Macaca fascicularis: one gene and its partners. The protein of the gene in region 6 purifies or fractionates together with the protein of the main gene of each other region. This does not show direct contact. Links are inferred from orthologs where the notes say so. Each region holds a gene or a part of one and is shown on either strand. Other genes may lie near its edges.

What was found.
Region 1: the proteins of PRPF8 (region 6) and SART3 purify together in Homo sapiens (affinity purification with mass spectrometry; 4 studies listed by BioGRID, with this or other methods). This does not show direct contact. The link is inferred for Macaca fascicularis from reciprocal best matches to the Homo sapiens genes PRPF8 and SART3.
Region 2: the proteins of PRPF8 (region 6) and EFTUD2 purify together in Homo sapiens (affinity purification with mass spectrometry; 9 studies listed by BioGRID and IntAct, with this or other methods). This does not show direct contact. The link is inferred for Macaca fascicularis from reciprocal best matches to the Homo sapiens genes PRPF8 and EFTUD2.
Region 3: the proteins of PRPF8 (region 6) and C15H9orf78 purify together in Homo sapiens (affinity purification with mass spectrometry; 4 studies listed by BioGRID and IntAct, with this or other methods). This does not show direct contact. The link is inferred for Macaca fascicularis from reciprocal best matches to the Homo sapiens genes PRPF8 and C9orf78.
Region 4: the proteins of PRPF8 (region 6) and SNRNP70 fractionate together in Homo sapiens (co-fractionation; 3 studies listed by BioGRID, with this or other methods). This does not show direct contact. The link is inferred for Macaca fascicularis from reciprocal best matches to the Homo sapiens genes PRPF8 and SNRNP70.
Region 5: the proteins of PRPF8 (region 6) and CRNKL1 fractionate together in Homo sapiens (co-fractionation; 3 studies listed by BioGRID, with this or other methods). This does not show direct contact. The link is inferred for Macaca fascicularis from reciprocal best matches to the Homo sapiens genes PRPF8 and CRNKL1.
Region 7: the proteins of PRPF8 (region 6) and TTC27 purify together in Homo sapiens (affinity purification with mass spectrometry; 3 studies listed by BioGRID and IntAct, with this or other methods). This does not show direct contact. The link is inferred for Macaca fascicularis from reciprocal best matches to the Homo sapiens genes PRPF8 and TTC27.

Annotation. Positions count from the first base shown.
Region 1 is NC_088385.1:115,358,359-115,361,566, forward strand, and holds the end of SART3 (squamous cell carcinoma antigen recognized by T-cells 3), read right to left. Parts: intron 2,849-3,208; coding exon 2,658-2,848; intron 1,975-2,657; coding exon 1,797-1,974; 3' UTR 547-1,796; downstream 1-546. UniProt on the Homo sapiens protein: U6 snRNP-binding protein that functions as a recycling factor of the splicing machinery. Promotes the initial reassembly of U4 and U6 snRNPs following their ejection from the spliceosome during its maturation.
Region 2 is NC_088390.1:65,951,929-65,956,242, forward strand, and holds the start of EFTUD2 (116 kDa U5 small nuclear ribonucleoprotein component), read right to left. Parts: upstream 2,816-4,314; 5' UTR 2,739-2,815; intron 2,412-2,738; 5' UTR 2,343-2,411; intron 316-2,342; exon of another isoform or gene 312-315; 5' UTR 194-311; intron 1-193. UniProt on the Homo sapiens protein: Required for pre-mRNA splicing as component of the spliceosome, including pre-catalytic, catalytic and post-catalytic spliceosomal complexes. Component of the U5 snRNP and the U4/U6-U5 tri-snRNP complex, a building block of the spliceosome.
Region 3 is NC_088389.1:14,078,866-14,082,034, forward strand, and holds the end of C15H9orf78 (splicing factor C9orf78 homolog), read left to right. Parts: intron 1-177; coding exon 178-314; intron 315-421; coding exon 422-520; intron 521-1,472; coding exon 1,473-1,564; 3' UTR 1,565-2,436; downstream 2,437-3,169. UniProt on the Homo sapiens protein: Plays a role in pre-mRNA splicing by promoting usage of the upstream 3'-splice site at alternative NAGNAG splice sites; these are sites featuring alternative acceptor motifs separated by only a few nucleotides. May also modulate exon inclusion events.
Region 4 is NC_088393.1:57,072,590-57,076,369, reverse strand, and holds part of SNRNP70 (U1 small nuclear ribonucleoprotein 70 kDa), read right to left. Parts: intron 490-3,780; coding exon 425-489; intron 275-424; coding exon 212-274; intron 1-211. UniProt on the Homo sapiens protein: Component of the spliceosomal U1 snRNP, which is essential for recognition of the pre-mRNA 5' splice-site and the subsequent assembly of the spliceosome. SNRNP70 binds to the loop I region of U1-snRNA.
Region 5 is NC_088384.1:67,252,809-67,257,060, reverse strand, and holds the start of CRNKL1 (crooked neck-like protein 1), read right to left. Parts: upstream 2,876-4,252; 5' UTR 2,762-2,875; coding exon 2,711-2,761; intron 1,070-2,710; coding exon 917-1,069; intron 1-916. UniProt on the Homo sapiens protein: Involved in pre-mRNA splicing process. As a component of the minor spliceosome, involved in the splicing of U12-type introns in pre-mRNAs.
Region 6 is NC_088390.1:1,807,002-1,811,454, forward strand, and holds the start of PRPF8 (pre-mRNA-processing-splicing factor 8), read right to left. Parts: upstream 2,950-4,453; 5' UTR 2,869-2,949; intron 2,670-2,868; 5' UTR 2,659-2,669; coding exon 2,559-2,658; intron 1,801-2,558; coding exon 1,632-1,800; intron 362-1,631; coding exon 197-361; intron 110-196; coding exon 1-109. UniProt on the Homo sapiens protein: Plays a role in pre-mRNA splicing as core component of precatalytic, catalytic and postcatalytic spliceosomal complexes, both of the predominant U2-type spliceosome and the minor U12-type spliceosome.
Region 7 is NC_088387.1:89,391,586-89,395,365, forward strand, and holds part of TTC27 (tetratricopeptide repeat protein 27), read right to left. Parts: intron 218-3,780; coding exon 20-217; intron 1-19.

The DNA of each region.
Region 1 (3,208 bases), on a different chromosome or scaffold from region 6:
TTAATGTGAAGCAGCGAAAAGTAAGGCCACACTCACCCATAGTGATGTTCACGGCTCTTCACGTGTCAGGTCCCCAACCATGAGGGCTCCCTCTGAGCTACCCAAATCATCTCACCAGCTGAACAGCCTTCCAAACAGCATCACAGAGAACACTGCAGGAAGAACACGTGGGACAGCAAAGGTTCTTGCTGCTGTCAACAGCCAGCGCTTGAATTTAATTCAGAAGTCTAGTAAAAAGTTTGTTTTGTGTAAAAAAGAGACGGAGGGGAACTTACATTTTAAAAGATGTAAGAGGCTTACGAACCAATAATTTACAGGGAGGAGAGCTGATATTTATAGGAAGGTGGAAATTTGAGTGGACAGTTGACATTAAGGGATTACCACTAATGTTTCTAGGAGTGAAGGCCTTTCAGTCCTGAGACACCTGCCACAACATTACTGGACGAGCACAATGACATCTGGAACATGCCTCAATATAACAGAAGGTGGAAGGGAGACAGACATAAAGGAAAAGGGGCTGGGAGTTGAGGAATGCTGGAAGCTGAATGGTAGGCACACAGGAGTTTATTTTACTGTTCTGTCTACTTTTTAATCGGTTATATTAAAAAATGTTAAGTTAAAAAAATATAGAAAAGCCCGACTGATGCACAAAAACTTACTTACACAACAGATAAATGAGGAGTTGATTCCTATGACATACACAAGGATTCCCTGACATCTTTCTCCAGAGTGTCTTAATAAAGTAAGCTTCCCCTACTGAACTGGCAATGCTGTTTTCAAAGCAATAAATATTTGATAAAGATGTGAGGTAAAAAAGCTCAAAAGCTCCAGTGTCAAACTGCTATAAACTGAATTGTATAAAAACTGAAGACACATCACAGCTGAAATAATTTAAATCAAAGTGACAATGGGATTTGACTTACAGAAGCTCTATTTACACATCTATTAGGTAAAGCAAGGTACACCCACTTCAAAACACATCTGTATGTGAATGCACATCTGAGTACCATTCAGCAAGAAGTTTTGAAGAGAACTTCAGTTTAATAAAGCTAAATGGGGAGAATTGAAGTTTGCATTTGACATGGTATTAAACAAAACCAAAGGGCTGAACTCATGTTTAGACAACACAGGTCACTAGTCACTAGGCAAAGAAAACAGTCCACAGCAGGTGGCACAAATAATTCCTATACAAAACAAATGTTGCAAATATTCTGCTTTTAGGAAACATGAAATAATGGCTGACATGTCATTTACAAATACATAATATAAAAATGCACAGCCCCCTTGAACAAAAATCCAGTAAATGTTTTATAGATGACTTCCCTCAGACCCACCCCCGTAATAGGCCATTCTGGTGAATTACTAGCATCTGCCATTTCATCTTTTAAAATTAAAAGAATGACGGGCACATGTGCTGTGCAGTGTAGAAGAGAAGTGTCATACAAAAAGGGGCCGGAGCTGGCCAGAAACATTTGGACAACTGCATCTCAAAAACCGTGTTCTTGTTTCGCTTCTGTGCCTCAGTCTTTAAGATACAAACGTATCTTGGGACACCACATCCTGGGCCCAGGGAGCCTGCAGAGTGGTCACTTTTCTGCCACTGCCCTCAATATGAGGGAGCACTGAAAGGCTCTTGACTTAGAACCCCTTCCCCCTTTCTGTCTAAAGCAGAGGAGCCATCTGTGGTTGCGAGCGGGCAGCACACCAGGCCTGTCCATCCCCAGTGCACCGCGGGGTGGTGGGAGGTCCGCCGGGCCAGAGTGAAGTAAGGCATTTCCTGTCTCCCAGAGTCCCGTTCACTTTCTCAGAAACAGCTTGGCAAAATCAGCATTGGACATCTTGGGTGCCTCGGTGGCCGCTGAGGCGGCAACTGCAGGAGCCGCGGCAGGGCCATTCTCGGCCTGAGGAGCTGCAGCACTTGGGCGCTGCAGGGCACGAGGCAGTAGAGACAGCTGCGTCCTTCCCTTCCCCCTCCTAGAAAAGCAAACACTGAATGGACCTTTTGAAGCAACAATTTGTGGCCCCTCATTTATTTGTAAAAATAAGCCAAGATAGTTTTAAATATAACCAGAAGCTAAAAGGGGGAAAAGAAAAAGGATGAGATAATCCCTGCCTCCTTAATTCTGGCTGTTAAGTAAAAACTGCTTCGACAGACTTGGCCTTGTTCAGTTTTGGCAAAGATCAACCCTGAGCACCAGTCGCACTCAGAGGGGATCAGTGTGACTATCACCTCTCAGACCTCGCCAGTCACCCGGCAATTCTGCTATCTCCTCCTCATCCCTAGCAGGCAAAAAGCACAGCTTATGTGGATCATATAGCTAGGGCTGTAGACTGGCACACACGTGGGTATAAGATTTCGTTTTAAACATAGCTCCAACTGGCAAAGGGGACTTGAAAATAATCACTGCCTTTAGTTTTGTCTGAAATAAATGACAAGTGTAAATTGGCCAGTACCAGGCAGAGGTCACTGCCTAGGCTTGCATCCTGCTCTGGACGCCTTGCTCCAGTGGAACCACAGTGATTACCACAAGGAACAGCACGTCTTGGCTTTTCTGTCCTAACAGGAAGCTAATTCATGCCGGGTTAATCCCCCCATGGTCCATGAACTGGTGCCAGCCAGGACGAAGTTTGCACTAGTCTACCATGCAAGCACTTACGCTCCGTATGTCTGCGGCAAAAGCATGGGGCCACCTGGTGCCTTCCTGGTCTCCGGCTTCTCTGGAACCTTCCTCTGAGGAGGGTTGCTGATTGCCACTTTGATGACGTTCTCTTTGATAGTCATGCCGTCCATCTTCATCACAGCCTGCGACGCCTGGGATTCATTTTCATACTCCACATAGGCCAGGCCCTGGAAGAGGCAAGATTCAGAACCAAGTCAGATCCCACAGACCAGGGACGTAACCTCCTCCCACAGGGCAGGCACTGGGCTTCCTCCCTGAGACCAGCAGACCAGGCCACAGCAAATGACCAACCAACAGGTTACCTTCCCCACCACTGCATCCTCTGTCTACAGGCTTATTTCCCCACCCTACTCTCCTTCCCAACTGCTGCTACGCACTGTAACTTCAGATAACCCTTCCAAGTTCAGTACACCTTGTATGTGCTGCAGAAGTAGAAAGAAAGAAGGAAACAGACAGATGGACCAGTATAAATCCAGCAAATAAACCAAGAGGTGGATGGGACACAGGGCCAGCAGCCCAGGTGCCCA
Region 2 (4,314 bases), about 64 Mb from region 6:
TATCAGTGTTTAATTTTGTCTTAAATAGTAGTTAACTGGCTGGGTGCAGTGGCTCACACCTGTAATTCCAGCACTTTGGGAGGGCAAGGTGGGCAGATCACGAGGTCAGGAGATCGACACCATCCTGGCTAACACAGTGAAACCCCATCTCTACTAAAAATACAAAAAATTAGCCAGGTGTGGTGGCACGCACCTGTAGTCCCAGCTACTCAGGAGGCTGAGGCAGGAGAATCACCTGAATCCAGGAGGCAGAGGTTGCAGTGAGCTGAGATTGCACCACTGCGCTTTAGCCTGGGCGACGGAGCAAAACTCTGTCTCAAAATAAATAAATAAATAAATAAACAAACAAACAAATAGTAGTTAACTGTACTAATTACCATCACCAACTATAGTTTATAAGCAATAAATAACAGACTAGAGCATCAGGGCTCTGGAGTTGGAAGACTTAGATTCAAATTCTAACTTTGCCACTAACAACTATGTAACTTCAGGTAAGTTGCTTCATCTCTCCAAACCTGACTTTTATTCCTCAACTGGAAAATGGAATGAATAATCCTCACTGAATAAATGTTTATGAGGATTACAAAAAACACCCTGTGTAAAGAATTTACCAGAGTCCCAGGCTCAATAAACAGCTAGCATTATTTTTTGCCATCCTTGATCATGAGAACCCTGTGTTCCATGCATCTGCTTCTTCCCTTCACTTCTTTTATGATACTAAATTTAATTTTAAAATAATACCAAAAAGTGGCAAGAACAGTACAAATAACTTTCTTTTCCCCAAATATTTGACAGTAAGCTGCTGACACAATGCCTCTTCAGCTCCTAATACTTTAGGGCAAGAATTCACAAACTCTGACCTGTGGCCAAATCTGGCCCCTCCACCTGTTTTTGCATGGTCCTCCAGCTAAGAATGCATTTTACTTTTTTATTTTTTTGAGACAGAGTCCCATTCTGTTGCCCAGGCTGGAGTGCAGTGGCACCATCTTGACTCACTGCAACCTCCACCTCACAGGTTCAAGCGGTTCTCCTGCCTCAACCTCCCAAGTAGCTGGGATTACAGGCACCCACCACCTCAGTTGGCTAATTTTTGTATTTTTAGTAGAGATGGGGTTTCACCACATTGGCCAGGCTAGTTTCGAATTCCTGACCTCAGGTGATTCGCCCGCCTCGGCCTCCCAAAGTGCTGAGATTACAGCTGTGAGCCACCGCACCCAGCTGCATTTTACATTTTTAAATAGTTGAGAAAAAAGTACCAATGCTAACACAGTCAACAGCCAAGACAGCACCTTGCATAAGTAGAAACTGGATAAATGTTAACTGAATGGGATGTTTAATTTTAAGATGCTGATATTTCTTGGATTAGACTGATACCTCCACCTCCCTCAATGCCATCTGCTGGGTGCTGAATGTAGAGAGAGAATCGGAGCTCCAAGGACCAATAACTAAATGTAAATTATTATGGAAACTTTCACATGCATACAGATTCTTTTTACTTCCAAAAAGCTATTATCGCATTTATGCTTATCTCATTCTCCCAAGACCCCAGTCAAGTGCTTGAAGAAATTATTTATCTATTTATTTTATATATATTTTTTGAGACAGAGTTTTGCTCTTGTTGCCCAGGCTGGAGTACAACGGGACGATCTTGGTTCACTGCAACCTCCGCCTCCTGGGTTCAAGAGATTCTCCTGCCTCAGACTCCCGAGTAGCTGGGACTACAGGCGTGCACCATTACGCCCGGCTAATTTTTTTGTATTTTTAGTAGAGGGGGGGGTTTCACCATTTTGGCCAGGCTGGTCTCGAACTCCTGACCTCGGGTGATCCGCCCGAGTCTGCCTCCCAAAGTGCTAGGATTACAGGCGTGAGCCACCGCGCCCGGCCGATTGAAAAAAATTTTATATAAAGCTGTTCATGGAACAAGCCAAGTTCAGTTCTGCCTCAGGGCCACTGCACTTGCCATTCTCTTTGTCCAAAACGCTCTTCCCTTTGATATTTTCACCTTGTCCCTTTATTTCAATCAAGTCTCCACTAAAATGTCACCTTCTCTGTCACTCTAAAAAGTCCCCCATACATACTCTCCAACTTCCCACTTTCACTGTTTTATTGTTATTCACAAATGTTATACATTTATCACTAGCTGACTTCTATCTAGTTGTTTACCGTTCATTTCCCCAACTACAGTTTAAGCAAGGGCTTGTTTTGTTTACTTAGAACAGTGCCTAGCGTAGACTAAGCCCTCAATACGTATTTATCGAACTAATGAGTGACTCTAACATGGTACAGAGAATATAGCTGATTTGCCCACAGTTACACAAAACTAGCGACTCATGGTTACAAACCTCACTGCTGCTTCCCGCTACAATGCAGGCGCTCAAAGGGAACGTCGGAGGGAACTTGGCAGAGAACGGCTGAAGGCGGCACAGATGGAAAAGGGAATGAGCGACGGGACTGGACAGTTAGAGCAACACTCCTTTCTAGGGATACGATTTTACGGACTGAGGCTATAGAGGCAGCCCCGAAATCGAGGTGTGTGCGTGCGTGCGCGCTTCGAAAGCTTTGGGGAGGCACGCGGAGGAGAGGACCTTCCATTATTTTTTCCGCTCCAGGCCTCAATTTACCCATCCGTAAAGCAAAAGGGGCAGATAGCATATAAGGCCTCTTCCAGATCTGACGCTCTTTAATTTCCTATCCCACCTGGAGCAAGCATTCCTTGCCGCTAACCCGCTTCAACTTACCTCCCGCCTGCTCAGCTAAGAGTTCTGAGGCCGCCGCCGGAGAACGCGCTTCCGCCCCACGCCAAAGAAACGTCTGCGCCCGCCGCCAGGAAGGACCCCGCAGACACCGCTGTCGCCTTTCTGCCCGGGAGGACAACCCTCCGCCTGAGGACCAGTTCCGAGGTATGCCCTCGCGGAGACAGGAACTGGCAAGGCGGAGTAGCCGGTCCCCAAGACGAGTAGCCCAAGACGTGGGCTGCTCCAAAGAGGGTGAGACCTGAGGATGAACGAATCTGATCAGGCGCCTCGGGACTACCCTGAAATGGGGGGGGCCTTCCGGCAGATCACGTGGCCAGGCTGTTAGCGCAGTTGCTGGGCAACCACAGCTGCGGGAGTGGTCTGCGCGGGGCTGCTCTCATGTTGACTTATCAGGGGATCTCCAAAGAAAACAAGGGGACCAAGGACGGGGCTGCTGGGGTGAAGGTCCAGGAGGCTGAGTAAGGGGACAGAAGGGTTAGTAAATGCCTGGGGAGGGCTGAGAACTGGACACTTGAGTTCGGTTACTGGCCAGCCCAGCCCCTTCTTGGCGTTCAGATTCCCCACGTTGGGGTAGGGTGGCTGTGGGATTGGTTGGGGACCTCCTGCTTCCTTGCGCTAGGGCTGTTGGTGATGACCCCGCCACAAAATCTAACTCAACTCACTAGGAGTTTGCAGTTCAGAGAGGTCCCACAACAAGTAAATGCCAGAGCCACGACTAGAACCCACGTAGAGAATCTCTCTGCAGATGGCTCACGCCTGTAATCCCAGCACTTTGGGAGGCCGAGGCGCGCGGATCACTTGAGGTCGGGAGTTCGAGACCAGCCTGGCCAACATGATGAAACCCCGTCTCTCCTAAAAATACAAAAATTAGGCGGGCGTGGTGGTGCACGCCTATAGTCCCAGCTCCTCGGGAGGCTGAGGCACGAAAATTGCTTGAACTCCGGAGGCAGAGGTTGCAATGAGCCGAGATCATGCCACTGCACTCCAGCCTGGGTAACAGAGCAAGACCCTGTCTAAAAAAAAGAAAAGAATATCTCTGTAGAAATCAGTCAGCCTCAGATACGCAGAAGCTACAGAAGTACAGTGGTAGAACTAAAGACATTGCCCAGGTACCTAGGGACCTCTGTTCCAGCCCTGGGCTGGACAGAGGGATTTGGGATCGGGTCATTGAGCTCCTTCCTCTGCCCCTTCTGCTTGATTTCCTGCTCAGTCATTGCGTGTGGTTTGGGTGAAAGTCTCCTTCTTCACTAAAGACATTCAATGAAGAATGAAACTTTATCCCTGAGCTCAAAGGTACCTAACAAGAGTTCTGCTTTTGTGTGAGGTCCCCTGTTGAAACGACTTGCTGTAGAACAATCCTATGGGGGAAGAGTGAAGAAACTGAATTCTGAGATCCAAATGCCTCCTCGACTGAAGCACCAAAATTAAAAGTATTTTTAGAGGCACAGAGCAAAATTAAGACAGAACTCCAAATTGAAAGTCAGGACTCTGTATTCTATTTTCAGCGACAAGTCTTGTGTAAGTCCTCACTGTGAAATTCAACTTGTCTGTATAAAAT
Region 3 (3,169 bases), on a different chromosome or scaffold from region 6:
CTGACGGCCGTGAGAGTTCCGTGAGAATGTGACTACAAGTGTGATTGGTAAACTGGAGAGCTGTGTCCCAGGACACATGATTTTCTTATGTCCTGCTGGGCTGCCAGCCTCACCACTCACATCTGAGTAGTAAGGTGCTACCATCTTCTAAGTGGTATGGTTTCTTTCTCTCCATAGTGCTAAAATTAAAAATATAATTTCCACGGAGGATGCCAAGGCCCGTCTGCTGGCAGAGCAGCAGAACAAGAAGAAAGACAGCGAGACCTCCTTCGTGCCTACCAACATGGCCGTGAATTACGTGCAGCACAACAGATGTAAGCCCCTCAGGGAGAGCGGTCTTGTCCCCTTTCCCTTATTTGGGCTGAGGTCCCTAGGAACCTCATGTTCCGTCTAATGTGTCCCCTGGTCTCTTTGGGTCCAGTTTATCATGAAGAGCTCAACGCACCCATCCGGAGAAACAAAGAAGAGCCCAAGGCCCGGCCCTTGAGAGTAGGCGACACGGAGAAGCCAGAGCCTGAGCGTGAGTGCAACAAAGGCCCCGGGGCTGCCTGGAGTGCTCAGCTCTGTGGGGGCCCATGGAGGCAGGGTGCAGCGGGGGACAGTGTGGAGGTTGGCACTGAAGCTGGGGCATCTGGGTTCCAGTCCATGCTCTGGACCATGACTATGTGCCTTCCCCTTTCTAAGCCTCAGTTTCCTCATGGGAATCCTAATAGAACCTACCTGTGTTAGGATTGCTCTGAGAATTCAGTATCAAGCATACAATCTCATATTCTCAAGCACAGTAGAGACTCAAGAAGTCAGAAAATTTCAGTAAGGACAAATAAAAGCTACTCATAAGGTTAGCTGAGTGCAGTGCCTCACACTTGTAGTCTCAGCTGCTGGGGAAGCTGGGGCAGGAGGATCGCTTGAGACTGAGAGTTCAAGGCTGCAGTGAGCTATGATTGGACGACTACACTCTAGCCTGTGTGACAGAGTGAGACCACATCTTTTTTTTTTAAAGAAAAGAAAAAGGTATTGGCCAGGCTCGGTGGCCTACGCCTATAATCCCAGCACTTTGGGAGCTAAGGCAGGCAGATCACCTAAGGTCAGGAGTTCAAGACCAGCCTGGCTAACATGGTGAAACCCCGTCTCTACTAAAAATACAAAAATTAGCCAGGCATCGTGGCAGGTGCCTGTAATCCCAGCTACTCAGGAGGCTGAGGCAAGAGAATCGCTTGAACCCGGGAGTTGGAGGTTGCAGTGAGCTTAGATCATGCCATTACACTCTAGCCTGGGCAACAGGGTGAGACTCCATCTCAAAATAAGAAGAAAAAGACAAATAAGTGTCTACGGAGGCCCTACTATGTTCACTGGGTTAGGCGCTGGGGCTCCTGTGGGGAAGGAAACAGGCAGTTGTCTTTGCCTACCTGGAGTAAAGTCTAGCAGTGGGTTCCAGCATGGCAAGCCACCTTTCCTGTTCTTTTCCTTCTCAGGGTCCCCTCCTAACCGCAAGCGTCCTGCTAACGAGAAGGCAACTGATGACTATCATTATGAGAAGTTCAAGAAAATGAATAGGCGGTACTGAGCTGTGCAGAGTGGGATGTAAATAGCGCCTTCCTCTCCCTATATCCCTCCCGTGAAACATGGCTTCCTGGCCGGGCATGGTGGCTCAGGCCTGTAATCCCAGCACTTTGGGAGGCAGAGGTGGGCGGATCACCTGAGGTCGGGAGTTTGAGACCAGCCTGACAAACATGGAGAAACCCTGTCTCTACTAAAAACACAAAAAAGTTAGCCGGGCATGGTGGCACATGCCTGTAATCCCAGCTACTCGGGAAGCTGAGGCAGAAAAATCACTTGAACCCGAGAGGCAGAGGTTGCGGTGAGCCGAGATTGCACCATTGCACTCTAGCCTGGGCAACAAGAGCAAAACTGTCTCAAAAAAAAAGAAAAGAAAAAGGGCTTCCTGGACAGAGCATGCTCATTTGCTAGCGAACAGTTCCAGAAACAGACCCTATTGGTCCTTCTGCTTACCTGCTGGATTTTTCAGGCACTAAATTTATAACTTTTTGAAACAAAACAATGTGTAATTTTCCATTTGGGGGCAAACTCTATTCTTGTGAGCATTATTAAATCTTGTTTGTAAATATATTGTCTTTTAATATTTGCTCTGGGTCAGGAAGAAACTGTTCACGGTGTGATAATACCCTTTAGATTGTGCTTTCATTATTATAGATGCATCGTGTCTTCTGCTTTCACGTATCTGGGATGGGGTCAGACATGCATCCTCCATTGATTAGAGTGGGTCCAACTGACAGAAAAATCTAGGATGAGATCAGAAGGATACTGGTGTTTTCTGACTTTTACAAAATTACTTGTTTGTTTTCATTTAAAAAAAAGCATAAACTATGTTTCTTATTACTATTAGAATTGAATTATTAAATTTCAAAATGAATCTAACCATATTGTTTGTATTATGTTTCCTTATACCAACATCAGGTAATGTTTTCAAAGCCCATGGTTTGGGTAGCTAAATGTAAAATTGAATTACTGAGATGGATTTTCTCATTTATTTCAAATGTCATAGACGTGCTGCAACCTGCTAACTGTCAAGTACCTTCTTACCTGTGCCCTCATTTTTCCTGAGGCATCCACATGGTCCGGAAGAGGAAAGAGCAGATTGGCTGACTTACGGGCGGAGTTAGAGCAAGTATTGTGGTTATGGTGGTTTGGCCCAGGAGTCACATCTGAGCCCAGCTCACAGCTTACTAATTGTGTCCTTGGACAGATCCTTTTCACTCTTAGCCTCAGTTTTCTCATCTGTAAAGTGGAGACTTTTTTGTCCTCCTCCACTTGAATGTGGTCAGTGAAGGCAGGAACCATGTATGCCTAATTTTTAAATTTGAAACCCCAGGGCATAGCCCACAATCTGACACATAGGCAGCCCTCAAAACTGTGAATGATCCCTATAGTGTCTGGCTTGTAACAAATGCACAAAAGTATTATTTGAAATCCAATATGAAAAGTTGAACCTTAAAAAATATTTTCAGGATATTTCAACTAGCATTTAACAGGTCCCAACGATGTACAGGCGTAACCCAAGATGAATACTAAAGGCCTAGCACATCTGGCACACAGCAACGCAACACGTGTTTATGGGATGAACAGGCAAATAAGTGGATGATCAACAGTT
Region 4 (3,780 bases), on a different chromosome or scaffold from region 6:
CTGCTCTCAATCAACCACCAGCAGTCATTACTTCTCATTTTACTTCTGCTACCCAAGGTCTGCTGCATGGAAATACAGTCAGGATGCACAAACCCAGGCCCTGAAATGCTGTGAGCCATGCTCAGGGCTGGGACCTCTCTCCCTCCCTTTTAGGATACGGCCCCTCCTCCATGCACCCCCAATTCAAACACCCTGATCCCACTCCACTTACTCTTTTGATGGGTCCGTACACCTCAAACTCTCTCCGGAGCTTGGATTCTGTTGTGTCATAGTTCTACAAGGAGATGAGTATGACGTTAAATGGGAGAACAGAGCTGTCCCACAGCTCCTGGAACATTCCCCAGTACCTAGCCTATCTGCCCTTTGGGCCAGACCCAGGCTCTCAGCAGCGTGGGGTTCCAGGAGCTAGGAACTGGGGACTTACCACTCTCGCCACGAAGAGAGTCTTGAAGGCATCACCCTGAGCATTGGGATCATTGTGAGGGTCCCCTGTGCAGGAAGAAGGGAATTTTGTAAGTTGAAGGTGTCCATGGTCTCAGGTAGGAAAACAAATACGATGGGCAGAGGCCAAGAAGAAAACAGTGGCACTGAGAGAGGCCCCTAGCTGGAGGAACATGGGTGGTGACCTGGCAACCTCAGGCACGCCCCTCTCTGAACCTGTTTCTCTGAGGCACAGTGGGCTTTATCAGAGTGGCTGAGAGATAATCCAGGCTGCTGAGGGGAGGAGGTAAGGCTGACTTCAAGCTGACAGGATGTGGCAGGCCCAACTGCCATTTCAGACCTACATAAACCCTAAGGGCCCCATCGCTCCCAGATGCAAGGTGATCCAAACAGTAACAGCCCAACTGGGCCTCCCTGGAAATGCAGCTGATGCCCCCAGGACCCATCAAAAGAGTAAGTGGAGTGGGTCAGGGTGTTTGAACTGGGGGTACCTGAAGGAGGGATCCTATCCTGAAAGGGAGGGAAAGGTCCTTCCTGTAGGCAGGGCCACACTGCCACCCACTGGACACAGACTGCAACTACAGCCCACAGGAAAACCTGAGACCAAGCCACCCCAGGGCTGCGAATGAGAGCCAGAAGAGCAAAAGCTAAGTAAGCTCTGCTTTCCCGTCTGTGCCCTGTGTCTCTAAAAGGAACCCAGGAAGTGACGAGCATCAGATTAGATCCTCACTCCAGCCTCGCTGTGAGGCAAACTGTCCTACCTGGCGACTAAGGAATAACAATCTCCAAAGAAAAGAGCCAGGAATCTCCTGAGAAACCAATTCCATAGTGATCCTGCTGAGTGAGGCCTGGGAATAAGTCCTTTTCACCAAATATGGCGGCCCCAGCACATAACGACCCTGACTCCTGCCGGGGCCTTAAGGACACTCTGCTGGTTCTTCCATGGCATAGGGCTCCCCTCAGAAGCCCTGTCACATTCTGGGAGAGTATGAGAAAAGGAGTAACATTAACCCAGAGGTTGCAATTGTTTGAACTGCAGACGTGCGAAAAATCAGACCCTGGCGATGACCCTGAGCAGGATGTAAATAACTCCCACAAGCTTAGCATTCCAATAATGGAACACTAGGCATAAAATTTACTGAGCACATACTATGGCCCAGACACAGTGCTGGACACTGATATTTATTTATTACTGTTTTGCCAATGGAAGCAAAACAGAACTCGAGACACAGAAAAAGGGAGGTGTCAAAGTGGCAAAGGGCCAAGGCAGACTTCACCTCTCACCCCAGGCACTCGAACTACCAGGCTCCTTCCCCGAACCCCGAGTGCTACCTTTTCAGGAAGACGGTGTGGGTGTTGCCAGAAGCTAGAGAAATAAAGTATCAGATTTTTTTTTTGAGACAGAGTGTCACTCTTGGTGCTCAAACTGGAGTGCAGTGGTGCCATCTTGGCTCACTGCAACCTCCGCCTCCCGGGTTCAAGCGATTCTCCTGCTTCAGCCTCCCAAGTAGCTGGGACTACAGACACACACCACCACGCCCAGCTAGTCTTTTGTACTTTTAGTAGAGACGGGGTTTCACTATGTTGGCCAGGCTGGTCTCGAACTCCTGACCTCAGGTGATCTACCTGCCTCAGCCTCCCAAAGTGCTGCCATTACAGGCGTCAGCCACCATGCCTGGCCTAAGGGATGTTTTAGAAAGCAGAAGCTTGAGCCACAATTTAAGGGAATCGCTATCTGGGACGAATGGAAATATCTGAAAACAACTCCATCTCGGTGTTCTCCCCACCCACTCCTCAAAGTTGCTTGCCAGGCTGGGCTCGGTGGATCACACCTGTAATCCCAGCAATTTGGGAGGCTAAGGCAGACGGATCACCTGAGGTCAGGAGTTCGAGATCAGCCTGGTCAACATGGCAAAACCCCATCTCTACTAAAAATACAAAATTACCAGAGTGTGGAGGTGTGCGCCTGCAGTCCCAGCTACTCAGGAGGCTGAGGCAGGGGAATCACTTGAACCTGGGAGGCGGAGGTTGCAGTGAGCCAAGATCGTGCCACTGCACTCCAGCTGGGGCAATAAAGCGAGACTCTGCCTCAAAAAAAAAACAAAAAAGTTCCTTGCCATACCACATCCCTGAGCGTTGTAATTTTCTATGGCCAGGTCTCTCAATTTGCACTGGCTTTTTTTTTTTTTTTTTTTCCTGCACCAGCTAACTCTCATTCATTCAAAAGTAATTCTTTTTTTTTTTTGCCGATGTTTGTGCTTTTGTAAATAGGTAACTCTTTTTTTTTTTTTTAGACGGAGTCTCGCTCTGTCGCGTAGGCTGGAGTGCAGTGGCCAGATCTCAGCTCACTGCAAGCTCCGCCTCCCAGGTTTACGCCATTCTCCTGCCTCAGCCTCCTGAGTAGCTGGGACTACAGGCGCCTGCCACCTCGCCCAGCTAGTTTTTTTGTACCTTTTAGTAAAGACGGGGTTTCACCGTGTTCGCCAGGATGGTCTCGATCTCCTGACCTCATGATCCGCCCATCTCGGCCTCCCAAAGTGCTGGGATTACAGGCTTGAGCCACTGCACCCGGCCGTAAATAGGTAACTCTTAAGCATCTACTATGTGCCTGGAAATACTATAGTTGTTGGGGATTTGGCAGTAAACAAGACAAAAAAGGCTGGCCGGGCGCGGTGTCTCATGCTTGTAATCTCAGCACTTTGGGAGGCCAAGGCGGGCGGATCACGAGATCAGGAGATGGAGACCATCCTAGCGAATACTGTGAAACCCCATCTCTAATAAAAATACAAAAAAATTAGCCGGGCGTGGCGGCAGGCGCCTGTAGTCCCAGCTACTCGGGAGGCTGAGGCAGGAGAATGGCATGAACCCGGGGGGCGGAGCTTGCAGTGAGTGGAGATCGTGTCACTCCAGCCTGGGCAACAGAGCGAGACTCCATCTCAAAAAAAAAAAAAAGGGTGCTGGGCGCAGTGGCTCACAGCTGTAATCCCAGCATTTTGGGAGGCGGAGGCAGGCGGATCACTTGCAACCAGGAGTTCGAGACCAGCCGACCAACATAGCAAAACATCGTCTCTACTAAAAATACACAAAAAATTAGCTGGGCATGGTCCAGCTACTCAGGAGGCTAAGACAAGAGAATCGCTTGAACCAGGGAGGCGACGAAGGCTGTAGTAAGCTGAGATCACGCCACTGCAGTCCATCCCGGGCAACACAGTGAGACTGTCTCAAAAAAAAAAAAAAAAGACAAAAAAGGTGTCTACCCTCATGGGGTTCCTATGCTAATGGAAGAAGTAAATAAGGAGATCATATGATCACATCAGATGACCAGAGATAGAAACAGGT
Region 5 (4,252 bases), on a different chromosome or scaffold from region 6:
CATATTTAAGAGAAATTACATCCTGGAATCCTTGAGGAATAAGAAATCCACTACAGAAGGTTACAATCAACTAACTGATACTTTGAAATAGTCTATGCTTGTCCCTAATAAAAAATATTTTGACTATTACCCGTAAGTCCTCTGGTAACGTTCAGAATTTCATATATAACAGAATTCATGCTTTAAAACAGTCCCACATTCTAGAGTGAAGAGGTCAAATCAGATCCCAAAGTCTTCTCATAGTCCTTTTGCAGATCTCAATTCCTTTTCCTTTCTTCTCTTTTTTCTTTGAGACAAAGTCTCGCTCTGTCGCCCAGGTCGGAGTGCAGTGGCATGATCTCGGCTCACTGCAGACTCTGCGTCCTGAGTTCCTACGATTCTCATGTCAGCCTCCTGAATAGCTAGGATTACAGGCACTTGCCACCACGCCCGGCTAATTTTTGTATTTTTAGTAAAGATGAGGTTTCACCATTTTGGTCAGGCTGGTCTCAAACTCCTGACCTCAGGTGATCAGCCCACCTTGGCCTCCCAAAGTGCTGGGATTACAGGCATGAGCCACAGTGCCCGGCCAGATCTCATTTCTTAACACAGAAGGTGGTATAGACAGAAGTACACAGTCCAGCCTTACTAAGCATACCCCCTTCCAGTTGTCCGTTGTTTCACCTGCTAAACTTCCACCCATTTTTGATTCAGTACCAAAAATTATGCAGATTCAATTGTTTTATACTTTAACCAGACAACTCAAGGCATATTTTATATAGTTCAGAAAAATGCTGTTATCTGGTAACCAGAAGGCATTATTCATGTGTCTAGGAACACTAACCTCATCTTGCCCTACAGAATCCAACCAGCTTTTCAAACTCTGACTGATACACTCTTAACAATTAGTGGACTGAAAGATACCACACTGACTGACCTTCCTTTTCCTTAGTTTATAATCATTTAATTCTTCTTCATCTGTGATCTTCTGTTGAGGTGGAGGTGGAAGAAGCTCAAGTTCTCTTTCTTTAGCCTCTCTTAAGAGTTGTTCAGCAGTTATCTGTACCTCAGCCGGGGCTTTGTTTTTCACCTTTTAAGAACAAGACATTTCTATTTTTAGTAGATGCTCTTCACACAAGGTTTAAGAAACAAACATACATTTTTTAGGATATGAACTTCATTAGTATTATCACAAGATGCTCTCTTTGTATGACATGTTCCCATCCTCCATGAGACTAAAAAGAAAAAAAAATACTATGTTTTCTCTCTTATTCATGGTATCTACTACAAAGCCACAGGTAAAAGTCTCAAGAGAAAAAGGTGGCAAAAATAATACCAAGTTTTCCCTTTTAGATGAGTATAATAATAAACTTTGAGGCTGTGTAGGTAAAATTCTGACCAGAGGGTTTATCAAGATGTGTAGCACATCTTATTAATAGCATTACCACCTGCATTCGCAGAATTCTTCAACTTATTTAATGCCCCTGGTGGAAAAGTGGGTATGGTTTTTCACGGAACCTCAAGTCAAAGGCACTATTCAATAAGTTCCCATCATTAGACTGTAAGTTTCTTGAGGTCTTAGAAGTTTACAGTCTAACGTAGCTTAGAGCTGTGCTGTCCAACACAGTAGCTATGAGTCACATGTGGTGAGCACAAATTGAGGTGGACTGTAAATGTAAAATACACACTGGTTTTGAAGATGAAGTATGAAAAAAAGAACAAACTATCTCACAGTTTTTATACCGATTACATGTTGAAATTATAATATTTTGGATACATTAGTTCAAATAAAATATATATTATCAAAATTAATGTCACTTTTTTTGCTTTGCTTTTACTTTTTAATGTAGATAGGAGAAAATTTAAAATTTCATGTGCTGTGCACTGTATTTCCATTGGACCGGTGATGCCCAATAAAAGTGTACGTAGCTGAATTATAAAAATTGTTATTTAATGCCACGTGTGGAGTAATGATAATGGTGATAGCTCATATTTAATAAGCACTAAGTGCCAGACACACTGTTACTTGCTCTACATGCATTACTTTTGCGAGTCAGACAAATAGTTACGTAAAGGTCCAGTTCAAGAGAGTCATCTGGGCTCAAGAAAGACTGGAGGGAGGATATCTGTAAAGGCTTCAGACAAATTCTGACACATATTAAGCACTTCGTAAGTATCAGCTATCGAGGGAAATACCAGTTAGTAAATCTACTGTTTAATTAACTTATGATACTATACTACTACTGCCGTCTATTCTCACCCTCCGCTGTCAGCTGGGCTAACTCCTATTCAGTCTTCAAGTCTCAGCTTAAAGGTCATTTCCTCAGCAAAATTTACTCTCAGGAACCCTTCATACGACCCCCTTATTCACGCCCATGGCATATTCTACTTTGCCTCTCAGTAACATCTGGCAAGATCGTCCTCATACACACACTCGTGTTTTGAGTACTGCTTCTGGCCAGCGTCCGAGCGTAGCTTCCCAGCGCCCAGTGCAGTGCCTGGGTCAGTAAATCTTCACTGAACCACTCCACTCCTCCTCCCTGCAAAACCACCCCATCGTGCTCCGCGATGACAAGAGCCCGCGCCCCACCACCAGCTGACCCTTCCTCTCCATCTCTCAGGGTGGGCCCTCTCCCCGGCGGGAACACTGTCTCCCGCCCGGGGCACCCCCAGGGCTGAGGGATGCCCCTCTCCTGGGCCACCTCCCACAAGGCCCCTCGCGATCGCCTACCTTGGCCACTTTGGGAATCCGCTGTTTCCCGGCCGCGGTGGAGGCCGCCATGTCTGCAGCAGCGGACCTCGGGGCACCTGTCCCCCGCACGAAAGCTAGAAATCCGCGGTCTGAGAGCTCACCGAAACCACAAAGATTTCCGACAACAAACAGGATCCCGGAATCGGAAGCGGAACTCGCCAGGCTGACCTTTGACCTCTCGCATGCGCCGTGACGGACGTGGCACCGTTTCCATGGGGACCAGGCTGCGCGTCCTCCTTACAGCAGCGCGCGGAGTGCGGCGTCCTGGAGCTGCGCGTGAGGTGGGTAGCGCCGGCCTGACTAGCAGCGACGCGAGGACTGCGATTCAGGGCGTCAAGGGCGTATCCCCAGGTCAGCCTCCAGAACTGGGATGACCAGGCAAGGAAGAGAGGCTCTGTCTAGCCGTGGCGCCCTGCAAGGGAGTAGGGTCGAAGCTCCAATCTGGATGCTCGAGGGGCGGGGGAACGAAGGGAGAGCGAGGAAACTACCATTCCCAGTATGCGAAGGGGCGAGCTGCCGCCCTTTTAGGCTGTCTGGCTCTGCATTGCATTCTAGGTCTTGTAGTCTCTGGGTCCACGCCCCCTCGTTTCTGGTTTCTGGACAGTTGTGCCCAAATAATTAACTCTAAGGCTTGGAATTAAAAATAACAGAAGGTACTTAGAAGCCAGATATTAGGACAAAATGAAAGTAAAAAATAGAGTAACTAGAAAACAACTCAGTCTTGTGATAAGAAATATGTTTAAATTCTGTGTGTGCCTTAATTACTCAAATTTTCTTAGCCTCAGTGTCCTCAACTATAAAACAAGGGTAATACCATCTGTTTCACTAGGATTAAAGACAAATGCTCAGTAAATGTAGCTATTATAATACTTAACCTGCCCTCAAAAACGGAAAAATTAAGCAAAAGTTAAAAGAATTTTTTTAATAGACAAATTTTTAGAGAAGTTTTAGGTTCACAACAAAATTAAGTGGAAGGCACAGAGATTTCCCCCCTCAACAGCTTCCTGCCATCAATTATTATACCTCTTCCCCACTTTAACAGCCTCCAACTCTCAAAAATATCCTCCACCAGAGCGGTACATTTGTTACAATCATGAACCTACATTGACACATCATTATCACTCAAAGTTCGTAGTTCATGTTGGGGTTCACTCTTGGTGCTGTACATTCTATGAGTTTGGACAAATGTACAATGACACGACTTGGCAGCACATTTGTTAGAATAATTTTCATAGTTGCAAGGCTCTTTTGGTTTTTGGGGAAAATATATATTGTGTATGTAGTAATATCACGTCTACCAATGCAGCTATTGCTTTCAAAAAAAGATTGATGCAGATTTCTAGAACTGCAGTTATAACCAACATCAGTATTTTTGCCATAACTCTTTATTAACCATATTATTTAGATATTTGATCTCACTTTTCAAAATTTAAATAGAGAAGATTTTATATCACTTTCATAAAGCCACCTAACAAAATAAAATATATTAAAAAGATGTTTCTTTGAAATGATTTTCCTTAA
Region 6 (4,453 bases):
GTTGTCAGCATAGTCCAAGGGCGGCTCCTCATCATCAAAAGGGGGAAAACGCATCCTCTTGAAATGCCTCCTATCTCTTTTTTCTCGGCGCATCATAATCCACATTGACCTAGAAGGCAAGAACATCACACAACCATTTCTACCCACTGCCCCCAACCACCACCACCATTGCCCACCATATTTCAGCCTTTCTCACCCCCATTGGGAGATGTAGACAGGTTCAATAACCCAGGGAATCTCATTGACGAAGGAAATGGCTCCAGTGATGTGGTACAGCACAGGCACATCCCGAATCTGCTCCCAAGGCATAGGCATGTTCTCCAGGAGTTTGAGGACTGCGTGGGGCATGTACTTTAGGGCACTGGCACATTAGAAAAAGAGAAGGCTATTAGAAATGACGAGGTGTTCTGCTACCTGTCCCATGCAGAGAAGCCACACATTCATGTTCCACAGTAAATCCTACCTTACAATCCAAACTCCCAGACTTAGCCCATAGGCCCTTCCTAACCAGAAACCCTGCCTCTCCCTCTCCAACTTCATCTTGCAGCACTCTTCTTTTTTTTTTTTTTTTTTGAGACGGAGTCTCGCTCTGTCGCCCAAGCTGGAGTGCAGTGGCCGGATCTCAGCTCACTGCAAGCTCCGCCGCCCGAGTTTACACCATTCTCCTGCCTCAGCCTCCCGAGTAGCTGGGACTACAGGCGCCTGCCACCTCGCCCGGCTAGTTTTTTTTTTTTGTATTTTTTAGTAGAGACGGGGTTTCACCGTGTTAGCCAGGATGGTCTTGATCTCCTGACCTCGTGATCCGCCCGTCTCGGCCTCCCAAAGTGCTGGGATTACAGGCTTGAGCCACCGCGCCCAGCCTCAGCACTCTTCTTAAATGTCATAGTCCCACAATGCTGGTATCAGCTCCTCTAAATCAACAGCTATCCCTCTGGAGACAGCTTTGCGGCTGTCTCACATCCTATTCCCTCAGTATCTTCTCATAAATCATAATAAAGTATTCACCATACTTCACTATCACCAGTTGTCTCATGTCTGTCATGCCACTAGACTGCACACTGCAGAAAGGCGGAGATTGTTACCCTCTGCTCGCTACTATACCCCAAGCAGCCAGCACAGTTCTCAAACTATTTTTTGAAATAAACAAAACTTCCAGTTCATTACACGGCAAACGTTTTTGTGTCCAAATAGAGCAGGAATCTGCTAAGACATCTGTACCTGTACCCACCCAGTTTACAGCCACAGAAAAACAGCAGTAGGGATACCTCTGAAATTAAATACCCTAAACACAGAATTCAGGTCCCTGAGGAGTGACAGGCTGCCACTATGCACAGTCTCCCACTCTGGGCTTCAAACAGCTCAACGACAGGGATATCTTATAACAGCATCAACAGGACAAATTAAAGTCCCAGGCCCAGATCAGGAACAGAAGGGAAACAGACTGCGTAAGTGGAAGATGTAGAAATTATCAGAGACTCCTACTGGTTTTCTCCTTTCTCTTATATCCACCAAGATGAGCTGTCAAAGCAGCGTCCTGTTCCAAAATGACAGAGCATCTATCCAAGACTGTGGGACAGGGAAAAGGGAAAAGAACCAAATTCCAAATGAAGTTATTTCAGGATGTTCCTTACCCCAAGTAAACCCTTTTGTCATGGCGGAACTTTCTGTTGGTCATGTCTCCATGGTCTCGAATGATCTTCCTGACATGTTCCGGGGGCATGTCTTCCTTCTGGGCATCCACAAACCCAAACTTCCGCTTTTCTGCATAGCGCTTCGCCTGCAATTGCTGCCATTTTCGGGCTACAAAGGCACCTCAGTTTAAAGGACTGCACACCCTCAGCCTAATCCTCTTCACCTCTTGCCCTAGGGTAAGCTCCTGTCAGTGAGTGTGACAGAGGAGCAGGCATCCAGCAGGAAGCAACACTCCTTGCCAATTCCCTTACCACTTTACTATGTTTTTCCCTTCATCACATTTATTACTATCTGACTTTTTTTTTTTTTTTTGAGACGTTGTTTTGCTCTGTTACCCAGGTTGGAGGGCAATGGAGCGATCTCGGCTCACTACAACCTCCGCCTCCCGGGTTCAAGCCATTCTCCTGCCTCAGCCTCCCCAGTAGCTGGGATTATAGACACGCGCCACCACACACGACTAATTTTTGTATATTTAGTAGAGATGGGGTTTCACAATGTTGGCCAGGCTGGTCTCGAACTCCTGACCTCAGGTGATCCGCCCGCCTGGGTCTCCCAAAGTGCTGGGATCACAGGTGTGAGCCACTGCGCCCGGCCTGACATTTTTATTACAGATCCTCAAGGTTTTGTTACTGTCTTTCTCTCCCGCTGTAATTTAAACCCCGTAAGGACAGGAATTTTGTCTCCATCACTACTGGATCAGCGCTTGCAGATAACACGCGCTTAAAATGACTTGATAAAAAGTTAAATGGGGCTAACAAGGGAGTTGTCACCTCGGGAGCTGCCCAAACGGGGAGGGTCCCCAGCCACCTGCGCGCGCGAACACCCGCCCCGCCTCCGGCTCGCGCGCCGCTCCACACTCGACTCACCTTTCTCCTGCAGCTTCTCCTCCGACATGTAGTCCGGTAGCGGGGCTAGAGGGCCGGGCACCGGGTTACCCGGCCCTCGGTAAGGAAATACTCCGGCCATACCCGGAGAATCTGGACAGCGGCGGGACAGAAAAATTCACTAACCACAGGCCCGGGCCCACAAGAAGCGCAGCAGAAAGGCGTCCGGGGACCCCGGCCTGCAATCCCGCCACACTGAGTGCATCCAGCCCCGCCCGGCCTAACCCCTTCGGTCACTCAGCCCGACCCGACCACGCCTCCCGCAGCCCGGCCTTAAACGCCTGCCACGCACCCCACAACCCCTCACACAGGGGGCCGCTTTCTCCGAAGCGCAATGGCGGCCAGTGTGCGTCCGCTCCGCGTTCCCAGCGCCGGAAAGTGCGCAACCCGACTTCAGCAGTTGATCCAATCGGCGCCGAGGTGCTCAGATGGATTGGTAAGATGGCCAATTAGAGTGGCACACTGCGCCGAGGAGGCGGGCCCACAGGCGGAAAGGCTTTGAATACAAGGGGGTGTGGTCGGGGAAGCCCCGCCTCCCACGTTTCCGAGGCTGTTCCTGAGGCACCCGACAGACCTCAGTGTGTGATAGGCTCCCGGCGTCGCCCTGCGAGAGACCGAAGTCTGGAAGCTTTTAATAAATTTGCCAAGATTGCGCATTGTACGATGTCTGTTGTCATCAATGTATACGTGCAATGCAGTACTAGCTCCAGGACGGTCATTTGTTCATGCATTCATTCTTTTTTTTTTTTTTTTTTTTTTTTTTTTGAGACGGAGTCTCACTCTGTCGCCCAGGCTGGAGTGCAGTGGCCGGATCTCAGCTCACTGCAAGCTCCGCCTCCCGGGTTCACGCCATTCTCCTGCCTCAGCCTCCCAAGTAGCTGGGACTACAGGCGCCCGCCGCCTCGCCCGGCTAGTTTTTTGTATTTTTTAGTAGAGACGGGGTTTCACCGTGTTAGCCAGGATGGTCTCGATCTCCTGACCTCGTGATCCGCCCGTCTCGGCCTCCCAAAGTGCTGGGATTACAGGCTTGAGCCACCGCGCCCGGCCGCATTCATTCATTTAACCATTCTTTATTGAGTGCCCACTGTCTACCGAGGACGAGGGATAAAGCAGGAAAAAAGACAACCAGTAGGGTTCACAGGGGAGCAGAAAGAATCAAGCTCATTGGGGGGGGGGGGCGGTAGCTCACGCCTGGAATCGCAGCCCTTTGGGAGGTTGAGGCGGGCGGATCGCTTAAGGCCAGGAGTCCAAGGCCAGCCTGGCCAACATGGTGAAACCGCGTCTCTACTAAAAGTACAAAAATTAGCTGGGCGTGGTGGCATGCACCTGTAGTTCCAGCTACTCGGGAGGCTGAGACAGGAGAATCGCTTGAACCCGGGAGGCGGAGGTTGCAGTGAGCCGAGATCGCGCCACTGAACTCCAGCCTGGGTTACAGAGCGAGACTCCGTCTCGGAAAAAACAAACAAACAAAAAGTCTGAAATTCCCACCAAGTTTATTGGGGAGGATGCAGAGGAATTGTAACCCATACAGCCCCTCAATCTAGTTGAGAATTTACAAATCAAAGTGAAATAATTAGAAAAAAAAATGCAAAGGATGTCAATGTGCTTTCAGAACGGTAAAAATTTTAAAACAATTCCTTTTGTTTTCTTTTTTAGACAGGGTCTCACTCTGTTGCCCAGACTGGAGTGCAATGGTGCGATCTCAGTTCACCACAACCTCCACCTCCCAGGCTCAAGCGATTCCCCTGCCTCAGCCTCCAGAGTAGCTGGATTACAGGCAGGTGCCACTACTGCTAGCTAAATTTTGTATTTTTAGTAGAGACAGCGTTTCACTATGTTGGCCAGGCTGGTCTCAAACTCCTGACCTCACGAAATCC
Region 7 (3,780 bases), on a different chromosome or scaffold from region 6:
GGAGGAATGAAGGACTTGCCTTTTCATTTTCATCAGGCTTTTCACTCTGCCCATTTCCATATACTTGAGCATACAGCCTCCAGATTTCTCCATCATTTGTCACTCTTGAAGTCACTCTGCCAAATAACTCCTGCAGCTTTCCTTTGAGGCCAGTTGTGACATCTCCACTTCGATCAGTCATCCCATTAATCACTGCCCTGACTAGAATTTTAAGAACCTTAAAAATGCACAGGAGAAACTGGTAAGCTAGAAACCAACAAACAATAACAAAAACAAAGAGCTACCTCACCATCATCAAAGACAATGACAATGAAAAACCTTGTGAAATTTGTTAAGAGTATCACCTTTAAGCTTTTGAAAAACAAAATAAAATTCAATCCTGAAGCACTCTCTAGGATCTCAAGCTGACTACCTCTCTGGATGTCCCTTCAAAAGCTTCTGGAGAGGGTTCTTTCATTCAAAGGGCCCCATGTTCGGTGCTTGGCTCTTCTCACCTGGAACATTCTCTCTGAGTGACTGGAGGCTTCACTAGTGTCTATGCAACTCCAGCCAGATTCCCCTCTGGAGCTCCAGGACTGTGCACCTCAATACCTACCAGACAGGTCATACCGACATCCCTCTCCATCTATCCAAGGTGAAACATAGATCTCAAATCGCTCTTCTTCCTGGAATCTCTAGGTGAGCCTATCCACACAGTTCCCAGAGCCAATAACCTGAGCATCAACCTAGATTCTCTTGCACTTCTGCCACAACTACTAATTTGATTTTCAACATTCCTAATGTTGATTTGTTTTGGTTTTCAACATTTTCTTTCATGCTCCCCATGTGCATGTTCAATGGCCAGTGAAATAGCTGTTGTCCTAAATAGAACAACATTGAAAACAACGTTGAAAACAATCCTAAATACAGCTTCTCCTACCTTAGTTTAGGCCTCATTAACTTCAATCTGGGCTGCTATAATAACCTTTCTAACTCTGCTTAAAGAAGTCCTCAGCCCCTCCTAATTACTAAATGACAAACTGCTAATACATGTGCATGCGAAGTATCTAGTAAGTGTCTCTTTTTCCAACTACCTCAAGTTAGCTCACCATTTTTTTTTTTTTTTGATGGAGTCTTGCTCTATTGCCCAGGCTGGAGTGCAGTGGTACGATCTCAGCTCACCACAACCTCCGCTTCCCGGGCTCAAGTGATTCTCCTGCCTCAATCTCGACTACAGGTGTGCACCACCATGCCTGGCTAATTTTTGTATTTTTAGTAGAGACGGGGTTTCACTATGTTGGCCAGGCTGATCTTGAACTCCTGACCTCGTGACCTGCCCGCCTTGGCCTCTCAAAGTGCTGGGATTACAGGCGTGAGCCACCGCGCCCAGCCTAACTTCTTGGCTATCTTATTATCATCTGTTAGTCTTTACACATTCTATCCCAGATGCTTTGAATGCTGACAGATGGATTAAACTGCAGCCTGCAGCAGGTTATATTATAAAAAGGCACATCTATCATATCTACATTAGGCTGTGTACCTGAAGGCACAGAAAACACAACCTCAATCTTCCACTCCTTTGATGGTGGGACAGCAAAAGAACCAGCTTGAGGAAAGTACTGTAACACCATGCTAGTCAGCGCAGTCCATGGACTGACAGCACCGGCATCAGAGCTTGTTAGAAATGCAAAATCCTGGATAAAAATGCTGATCCATCTTGGACCAAGATTCTGCATTTCCAGTAAGCTCCCAGGTGATGCTGATGTTGACGGTCTGTACAGCACACTTCAAGAAGCAAGATTCCAAGAGACAGCTGCCCGCATCTTTATTTTTACCGTGAACTGTGGGGAGAGGATGGCATTTTATCATTTTGTATCACCATTGTTTAATATACTGCCTGGCATATGGCAATTGCCCTGACTCAATAAATGCTTGTGCCGGAAAGTGTAGCTAAGAGAAATGCAACCAGTGTGAGATCTTGCTGTCTCCTCCTAGGACATTCTGATCTGTGTATGAGATGTGGCTGAGGAGTAGAGGCTCCTCTGGAACGTGGATACTTTTAGGAATGTGAACTCAGACTCATGGTCCTAATTATCTATAGTGATAAAAGAAGACAGAAAATTCAGTTGTGCTTTTTTTTTCCTGTTTGGACAAGGTACATTATCTCTGTCTGTAAATTCACATTACAATCCCACATGTGTACTTTTAAATCTGAAAGTAACGAAAATCATATTACAATCCCATTGGTGTTTTAAATCTGAAAGTAACAATGCAGAAGAAACAGTCTGAATGTGTACTACTTGCTTCAAGTGGTCATTCTATAAGCATGTCAGGTATTAACATGTTTTGAAAAAGATGGTCTATTAAAATAGTTACTAATATGTAAAAATGAAACACAATAATGAGTGATACTTTGCTTCTTCTGGAATCCCACAGTTGGTTCAACATCCCATCCCTTCACTTTAGCCTACTGGGGAGACGATGTGGGGAGAGAAAGCTTTTGGTGTTCTTGCCAATAAAAATGAAGAGCTGTAGTGCTGGCGTTAAAGATGGAAAAAGTTGGTCAAGTGGGTGTGTGCCTCCTCTGTGTATGCGTGTGTGTTTGCAGGGGCATGAAGGGAACTGCAAAAGGGCAGGGAGGTGAAGCATCTGTCTGTTGTAGGGGGTAGACAGGGGATGAAACTGTAGGTAGGGCAGATACTGAATGCCTCTGCCCAGTTCATATGCAGATGTCCCCCGAAGAGAGAGGAACAGGGGCAATGACCAATTTGTTTCATGCTCCCCATCTGCAAGTTCAATGGCCAGTGACATAGCTGGGCCTGGAGCTTAGAAGAGTTCCACACTGGAGGAATAGATAATGAGAGTCATTGAGGGTCATGGCAGATATTGCCTAAAGAGACTGTGTTGGGCAAGAATAAGGCTGAGGATAGAATCTTAAAGAACACAACACTTAAGAAGAGGGCAAGTAGGCTGGGCGTTGTGGCTCACACCTGTAATCCCAGCACTTTGGGAGGCAGAGGCAGGCGGATCACCTGAGGTCAGGAGTTCAAGACCAGTCTGGCCAACATGGTGAAACCATCTCTACTAAAAATACAAAAAAATTAGCCGTGTGTGGTGGTGGGTGCCTATAATCCCAGCTACTCGGGAGGCTGAGGCAGGAGAATCACTTGAACCCAGGAGGCGGAGGTTGCAGTGAGCTGAGATTGCGTCACTGCACTCCAGCCTGGATAACAACAGCGAAACTCTGTCTCCAAAAAAAAAAAAAAAAAAAAGGGCAAGTAGAGAACTCACTCATCAAACTAAAGGAGTGGTCAGAAAGGTAACAAAGTGATGTCATGCAAACCAAGGAAGGAGAAAGTTACAAGGAAAGTACATCCACGAAGGATCAGGAATGGAAGATTCCAGTGGATTTGGCAATCATAAGGGTGAGTGACCATAATCCAGAACCAAAGCCAGAACAAGAAAGGCAGGAGAGATCATGACTTCAGACAAGAGGCTTAAAAAGAAAGAGAAAAACATAAAAACCAAGATGATTATTAACATCACAAAAAAATGAAGAGAAGCCCCCCATAATCATAGTATCCTATAATACTAATTTTGAATATCATTTGCATAGGCATTTAGTGTATTTGTTTAACCAAAATCGTTAATATAAATATATTAGGATAAGAAAGAGAAGTAGTGGAAGTGCCGATATGACAGTTCTCATTTACTATAAGAAGTCAACAGATAATGCCTCATTTTGTTTAATTAAAAAATAGCAGTAATATAATACCTATTAATATGAAATATGGAAATGTG